2 linked regions of the Cricetulus griseus genome follow. Each later gene encodes a partner of the first gene's protein in a complex. Links are inferred from orthologs where the notes say so. Each region holds a gene or a part of one and is shown on either strand. Other genes may lie near its edges.

What was found. The genes of interacting proteins can lie anywhere in the genome.
Region 2: the proteins of Mpp1 (region 1) and Gypc are in contact, whole or in part, in an NMR structure (PDB 2EJY), measured with the Homo sapiens proteins. The link is inferred for Cricetulus griseus from reciprocal best matches to the Homo sapiens genes MPP1 and GYPC. Residues at the interface, in NP_002427.1 of Homo sapiens: Pro81, Met82, Gly83, Ile84, Leu86, Lys87, Leu88, Leu100, Val130, Gln134; in NP_002092.1 of Homo sapiens: Arg123, Lys124, Glu125, Tyr126, Ile128.

The regions. Positions count from the first base shown.
Region 1 is NC_048604.1:732,689-736,118, forward strand, and holds part of Mpp1 (55 kDa erythrocyte membrane protein), read left to right. Parts: intron 1-308; coding exon 309-389; intron 390-1,353; coding exon 1,354-1,434; intron 1,435-3,430. UniProt on the Homo sapiens protein: Essential regulator of neutrophil polarity. Regulates neutrophil polarization by regulating AKT1 phosphorylation through a mechanism that is independent of PIK3CG activity.
Region 2 is NC_048595.1:204,836,625-204,840,991, forward strand, and holds the start of Gypc (glycophorin-C), read left to right. Parts: upstream 1-1,425; 5' UTR 1,426-1,701; coding exon 1,702-1,741; intron 1,742-4,367. UniProt on the Homo sapiens protein: This protein is a minor sialoglycoprotein in human erythrocyte membranes. The blood group Gerbich antigens and receptors for Plasmodium falciparum merozoites are most likely located within the extracellular domain.

The DNA.
Region 1 (3,430 bases):
CTTTCCTCAGAACTCCCATAGGAGATACTTTCTGCTTTGCTTTATTATGTATCACACTTCTTTATCACATAGAAATATCCAGCATCCCTCCCTACAACCTCCCTCCCCCCAATTTCATGTCCATGGTCTCTCTCCCTATATTTTGTTTTCTATTTTGGAGACAGGGCCTCAGTTCTAGTATTGCACGTCTGCACCACCATGCACAACTTCCTCTCCTTCCTATATCAGGTGTCAGCTCCTTAACCCCAGCCAGTGCTTTTCCACCCCACCTCTGGAAATTAATATGGTTTGATCTTCTTTGTCTTTAGTTTTTGACCAGTTGGATGTTGTTTCCTATGAGGAAGTTGTCCGGATCCCTGCATTCAAGAGGAAGACCCTGGTGCTGATTGGTATCTTTTCACAGTTTTGCTAATTCAAGAGCATAATTCTGTCCTTATTTCCATTCCTGTGTTATGTGTCCACCCTTCTTCAGGAAAGGCAGTGAGGAAGAAATGAAGTGTGGTCTCTTATATATTTCATGTAGTGTACTTATAAAGAACTCTGTAGTTTTTTGGGGGGAGAGGGGGGATACGGTGGCTTTGGAGGCTGGCCTGGAACTAGCTCTTATAGACCAGGCTGGTCTCAAACGCACAGAAATCCACCTGCCTCTGCCTCCCGAGTACTGGGATTAAAGGTGTGTGCCACCACTAACTCTGTGGATCTTACAAGTTTTTTTTTTTTTTTGGTTTTTTTTTTTTTTTTTTTTTTGGTTTTTCGAGACAGGGTTTCTCTGTGTAACTTTGGACCCTGTCCTGGCACTCGCTCTGGAGACCAAGCTGGCCTCGAACTCACAGAGATCTGTAGGGAAACACCCTAGCCCCGCCCAATAGTCCCGGACAGATGCCAGGTGGACCCGGGACTATTGGGCGGGGTTAGGGTGTCTCCCTACAGAGATCCGCCTACCTCTGCCTCCTGAGTGCTGGGATTAAAGGTGTGTGCCACCAACGCCTGGCACGAGTTTTTCTATTACTTAGAATCTAATTCTTTTTAGAGTAGGTTTGCTGTTTGTCCACCTTTTTGGATGGCTTACAAAATAAACAGAAAACTGCACAGTAGCTGGTTCCTCTATGGAAATAGAAATTATGTTCTATGTCTTAACTTTAAGGATACAAAGGAATTGAAGCTACTTGGTGATCCCAAATCTTCTTTGACAGCTCTAAGGACTCAGTTGCAGCCTGGGTAAAGCACCAAACTGTTTTTGTCTACTAGCCACTTTGAGCACCGGAATATAGAAATCTATCTTCCATTCCCTGTCTTGTCTCCACCAATGTCTCTGGGTAAAAGTGATGCAAGCCTTTCTTTATTCTTACACAGGAGCCAGTGGGGTAGGTCGCAGCCATATTAAGAATGCTCTGCTCAGACAGAATCCAGAGAAGTTTGTGTACCCTGCCCCATGTAAGTATTTTTCAGGTGCCTTGGAGGGGAACATTATGCCCTAAGGGACAGGCAGCAATGTCATGTTACTGAATTTAGCATCAGTATTTTTTGAAATGTCATGTGGTCTTGTACTTGTTTTATTTTAGATGTTTAATTATGAAAACTTAAATCTAGGGGCCTGGAAATATCTCTGAAATCCACATTGAAAAGCCAGGCATGGAGGACTGGAGTGATGACTCAGTGGTTAAGAGCACTGACCCAGGTTCAATTCTCAGCACCCACATGGCAGCTAACAGCTATCTATAACTTCAAGATCAGCAGCTAACAGCTGTCTATAGCTTCAAGATCTGAGACTCTCACACAGACATACATGCAGGCAAAACATCTATGCACATAAAATAAAGGTAAACTTTAAAAAAAAAAAAGAAAGAAAAGCCTGGCATGCTGGCATGCACTGTTAATCCCGTGGAGGTGGAGATAGCAGATCTATAGACTTCTTTGTAGTGTTCAAAACCAATGAGAAGACCCTATCTTTTAAAAAAAGGAACAGGTGTACAGCACCCAGGGAATGTTACCCAAGGCTGCCCTCTGTCCTCTGTACATGAGCATATGTACCAACACACACACACACAAAAAAACCCCTAAAAATTTGGAAATATAAACATGTACTTATGGGGCTGGGGAGAGGATTGCTAACTGACAATGTGAATTGAATCCCTAGAACCCACATGGTAGGAGAACTGACTCTCACAGGTTGTCTTCTAATTTTCGTATGCACATAATGGCATATCACACACACAGAGATCACAGAGTGTACTTACAATTGCTTGAGATAACAAAATAACTTTTCTTATTCTCTTATTCCATATAACAGTACTTGTAGTAAACATCGTTTTTTAAAAAATATTAAGGCTGGGTGTGGTGGCACATTGGGATCTCTGAGTTCAGGGCCACCCTAGTCTAGGAAGTGAGTTTTAGGACAGTTTTAGTACACAGAGAAACCCTGTCTTGAAAAAGAAAAAAATTAAGAATTAAATTTTATGTATATTGCTTTATAAATGATTTCTCAGGGTCCTCTACTGTCTAATTCAGTTTGAGGATTACGTTATAGTCCTTTTATGTAGGACTATTTTATAGTCCTTTTATGTAGATAGTATAGTTTGAATAGTGGATACACTATAGTTCTTGTGGCTATTTTACATTGTTTAATATTTAAGCTGCCTCTAGTGCTCATAGAATGTCTTTTAAACCAAAATAGTGCTTAGGGAAGGCCTGCTCAGTCACAGCAATAAAGAGATATAATTCTCAGAAGGGGTACTGCTAATCAAATTAGAAAACTAGGATGTGAACCTGATGTTATTTGTTTTCATTCTTTGTCTTTTTTACATATGGATCATTTATTGAAAGTTGCTCATAGGAACATAGTGAGAGTCATTCCAGTAGAGCAGAAAACAGATGTCCCAGGGAAGTCTACAATATATATATATATATATATATATATATATATATATATGTGTGTGTGTGTGTGTGTGTGTGTGTGTGTGTGTGTGTGTGTATGTATGTATGTATATATGTACATATGTATTTATACATGTATATGGAAAGAGCCTGAGATGCAATTGCAAGTTGAGAGGAAGGTAAAGGACATGGCTCATCAGAGGATTAAAAGAGGATGGGAATATACAATTTATCTCTGCACTAGAATGTTACTCTTAACATTTTAACTTTTAAAAGAATTATATGTCTGTGTGTGTAGGGGGTTGGGCAATTTATGAAAGTCTGCTTTCTTTCCACCATATGTGGTTCCAGGAATTGAACTCAAGTTATAAGCTTTCTGTGGCAAGTGCTTTTACCTGTTGAGAAATAATCAGAACCAGTATTTTAACAAAATGTTTAAACCAAGCCAGTGTGCTCTTCTTTCCATGTCATAAAAAAGAAAAAGAGCTGGAGAGATGGCTTTGTGTTTGAGTGCTTGCTGCTCTTGCAAAAGACCAGAGTTTGTTTCCCAGTATCC
Region 2 (4,367 bases), on another chromosome or scaffold:
CCAGCCACCAAGGCTTTCCCAGGAATGGATTGTGTCTTTGAACTACGAGTCAGAATAAACCCTTCCCTCCTTAAGTTGTTCTTCTTGGGATGTTTATCACAGCAACAGGAACAGATGAATGCGGAATTAACACCAGTATGAAACTTAGTGCTTAATTCTGGCAGGAAGCTCCAAGGCTGCCACTGGTCATCTTGATTGAAACGTAAATGGCTACAGCAACAGCTCTGAGCACATTAAAAGCCTTAAACATACTTCTAACCCTGATGCCCTGATGTCACAGGTGCGATGACAAATTAAGGAAAAATGTGAGATGAAGGTACTTCAATTCACATGGTGCATGCATGTGTGGAGGTCAGAGGTCAACCTCAGCAGCTGTTCCTTAGGCACCATCTTCCTTGATTTTTAAGACAGGATGTCTTGGTAACCTGGAACTCACGGAGCAACCTAAGCTAGCTGGCCAGCCAACTTAAGGAATCTACCTGCCTCCACTTTGCCAGTGTACAGACTGTAAGTGTGTGCCACTGCGTATCTGGGCTCTTTTATTGTTTAATTGATTAGGCTAGGTCTGGGAATGCCTATGAGCCAAGTATTAACACCCTCACTCCCATTCTGCTTCCTGAGTATTGATACAATGTGACCTGTGGTCTCAAGCTCCTGTGCCTTTGGTGAAAGGATAGACTGTACCTTCAAACTACAAACCAGAATAAACCTTATTTTATCATAGCAACAAGAAAAGTAGCTAAGGCACTCGAACTGAACTTTGATGCTTGCAAAGTGTCACACCTGTCGGGTGACACAGAAAGAGTGGAAGTGGAGGACACTCTATGAAGTAAAGATACACTAAGCCAGAAAGAGAGAGTCAAATACAAGTATTATCTGTCTTGTAAAATCTAAAATGGCATCTCAAAGTAGAAAAGTCCAGTTGCAATTAGTAGTGATCAACGACAGGTGGGGAAATACAGCAAGATTGGGTAAGTGGTACTAAAACAGAGATTGGCTACATACACACACACACACACACACACACACACACACACACACAAACACACACACACCCACCCTGAGTAGGATGCCTCCAAAAGTAAAAGATTGGTAAAGTTAGGAATGCTATTGACACCATCAGTACACAACCTATGTATGCCCTGAAATATTGTGCCATACCCTGTAAATAATATACACAATTAATTTTAATTAAGAGACATCGTTTTATGAAGAAGAAATGTTTAGAATGGTTCTGGCTGCACAGCATCCAAGCCAGGCTTGAAACTCTTGCCTGCCCCTATTTGGACAGTGCCCAGCCAGGCCACTGGGTCTCACGTGGGACTTTTCCAGAGCTCACACAGGGGAGGGGGGTGCGGCGCGCGGCGGGAGGGGGAGCAACCACAAGCTTTCTATCTGATACTGACAGATGGAAACAAAAACATGGGGGGGACTGTGAGCCTTGAGCAGAAAGTTAGAGCGCAGAAGAAAACGTTCGGAAGTGGGCGGGTGTATGCTTAAAAAAAAAAAAAAATGGGTGGGAACCTCATGGCCAAGTTGTAGAAAAAAAAGTTGAAGTGTGCCTATCTTGGGGCGGAGCCCCTCCCTTCTGCTGGCAGCGCGCGGAGTGGGAGCCCCAGGTACAACCGACAGGCAGGGTCCAGGAGCTGGGGACCCCCTTCGCCACAGTGCGCCCACCGCGTGTTTCCCCGCCGCGTGGCGATGAGCAGCCCCAGGAGCACGCCGCCTCCCCCGCGCCACGGTGAGTACCGGGACTGTCCCGGGTCCCCGCCTGACCCGGGCCGCACTGTGGCGCACCGAGCGCGCGGGGTCCGAGTCCTGCAACAGCAGGCCGCCGGGCGCCTTGGCCCGATGGATGTCCCCCACCCAAAGAGGCCACCAGCCCCGCGGTGGCGCGCTGTTTCTTTGTGTGGGGCTTGAGAAGGGTCCGGGACCAGAGAGAGGGAGAGGCCGAGCCTTCAGCAACCAGGCACCCCCCCAACCCCTCACCCCACCCCAGGCAAGTCGCCGCAGGAACTGAGGCCAACTTCGGGAAAACTCCAAAATTCTCTAACAGTTCTTTCTGGCCCACTGGCCCTGGGACAGGAACAGACTTTGTGGGATCCGTTCTCCTTGACTCCTTGAGATTATGAAACAACAAACAAACAAAACCTACTGTCTTTTTAAACGCTTTAACTTCTTGGTGACTGGAGCAATGAGAGTCTCCGGATGTAGGAAACATTGATGGGCCTCTTGGCGCCCTGCTCTCCTCTGCTTTGGTCTACTTTGGGGCTTTTGCAATCCAAAGTGTTGTTTTTAGAAAGAACACAACTCTTTATCCACTTTACCCCTCACCTAACAGAGGAATTACTCAGAGCCTACATGGTGTTCTCTATCACTATAATAAGTCAATAAGAGACCTTTTTAATTTTAATTTAATTTAATTTAATTTTGAGACAGGGTTTTATGTAACCCAGGCTAGTTTGTGGATTGGACCAGGCCAAGATGACTTTAAACTTCTGATCCTCCTGCCTCCAAACTATGTTACCAGGCATGTGGTAACACAGAGTTTATGCCGTACTAAAGAGGAAACTCAGGTCTCCATGCATGCTAGTCAAGCATGCTACCTACTGAACTATACCCCTGGTCTGCCACCACTGTGTTAAGTCCTGTAAATGTAGGCAATTTCAGGGCCCCTGTCTTGTGTGGCTTGGATACTTAGTTACCATATATTGATGGTCTGTGATTTTGTGCCCAGCCACGCTGTCGTGTATGTTGCCTATATTGGGATCATCTCTGTAACATCTCTCAGCTCTGGTTTCAGCATCCATGAAGTGAGGAATCTTCATAGAATATTTCTCATTGGATTGTAAGAATGAGATGCATATAAATGCTTGAGAGTGCAGGCTGAGATATAACACGTGTTTACAAATGTCTAGCACCCCAAGATGAAATTTATCAGAGAGTGTGGACCGCCAGAATCATGTGCATTTATTTCAGTCTGTGACTGATTCGTGTTCTTGTGTGTGAATGCATGGACACGTGTGTTCAGTTGTAGACCTTGCTTGGCCAACAACTGCAAACAGCTCTCCTCCCGGGCTGATGGGGTTACAGCCCTTGCTCATATAGTTCTCCAGATTACTGTCCCCCATTGGATTCTGGCAGGGTCCCTGCTATGGGAGACCCCTGGGGCCCTATTTCTTGCTGCTAACTCAGACAGGATGTGTCTATATCCTGTCTCCATGACGAAGCTGTAGCTACTCAGTGCCTGAGGTCGGAGCAGAGAAAATTTGTCGGGTCAGCCTGGACCCAGCAGGGTTTAGTGTTTCTTCTAAGCTTGATTGTCACCGTTATTGGCAAGTTATGCATGGGCAGTCTGGTGCCTTGCCCTTGGCTGAAAAGGGGTCACTGCTTAGTGTAGAGATGCCAGGTTTGGCAGCTTTATATAGAATTTGCTGTCGCTGGCAGAGGCAGAGAGGGTGACCAGAAGTGCCAAATGAAATTACATCTCAACCCTTGTGCAATCTCTCTAGATGCTGAGGACATGGGGAGTCTCGTGGGGCTGGCACAGTAAGCAGCTAGCCTTTCCCAGGGTACCCTTGTTGGGCAAGTATTTTAGAGGCTTGCAAAACACTCTGGGAAGCAGAGGATTATGGGGTAAGGGGCATTCTATGTGGTTGGCGTGTGTGTGTGTGTGTGTGTGTGTGTGTGTGTGTGTGTGTGTGTGTGCTTGCGTGTGTGGTGGAAGTAAGTAACTGCTTCCACCGAGAGTGGGGAGAGGTTAAGAAATCAAGTGGGTTTATCTCTGGGTGGCAGGGGCCATCTTTGTACGTGGAATTTTACCTGTGTGTGATTGTAGGAGCTCGGGATAAAGTGTCCTACACCAAGGTTTAATCTATGAGACAAATACTTTGTGTGTTTAAAATATTCTTAAATTCTCAGAAACTGTCCTCCTGAAGGTTCTGCCAGGTGTGTGTGTGTATGAGTGTGTGTGTGTGTGTGTGTGTGTGTCTGAGTTTGTGTGTCTGAGTGTGTGTGTGTGTGTGTGTGAGTGTGTGTGTGTGTATGAGTGTGTGTGTGTATGAGTGTGTGTGTGTGTATGAGTGTGTGTGTGTATGAGTGTGTGTGTGTATGAGTGTGTGTGTGTGTATGAGTGTGTGTGTGTATGAGTGTGTGTGTGTATGAGTGTGTGTGTGAGTGTGTGTGTGTATGAGTGTGTGTGTGTGTGTGTGTGTATGAGTGTGTGTGTGCACCTATTTGTGCTTGTATCAATGCAAGCCCATGGGCAGCCTCACATGTCATTTCTCAGGTGCTTTCCACCTTCTGTTTCGGGCAGGGTGTGTCACTGTCCTAGAACTCACTGAGCAGGCTAGGCTGACTTGCCAGTG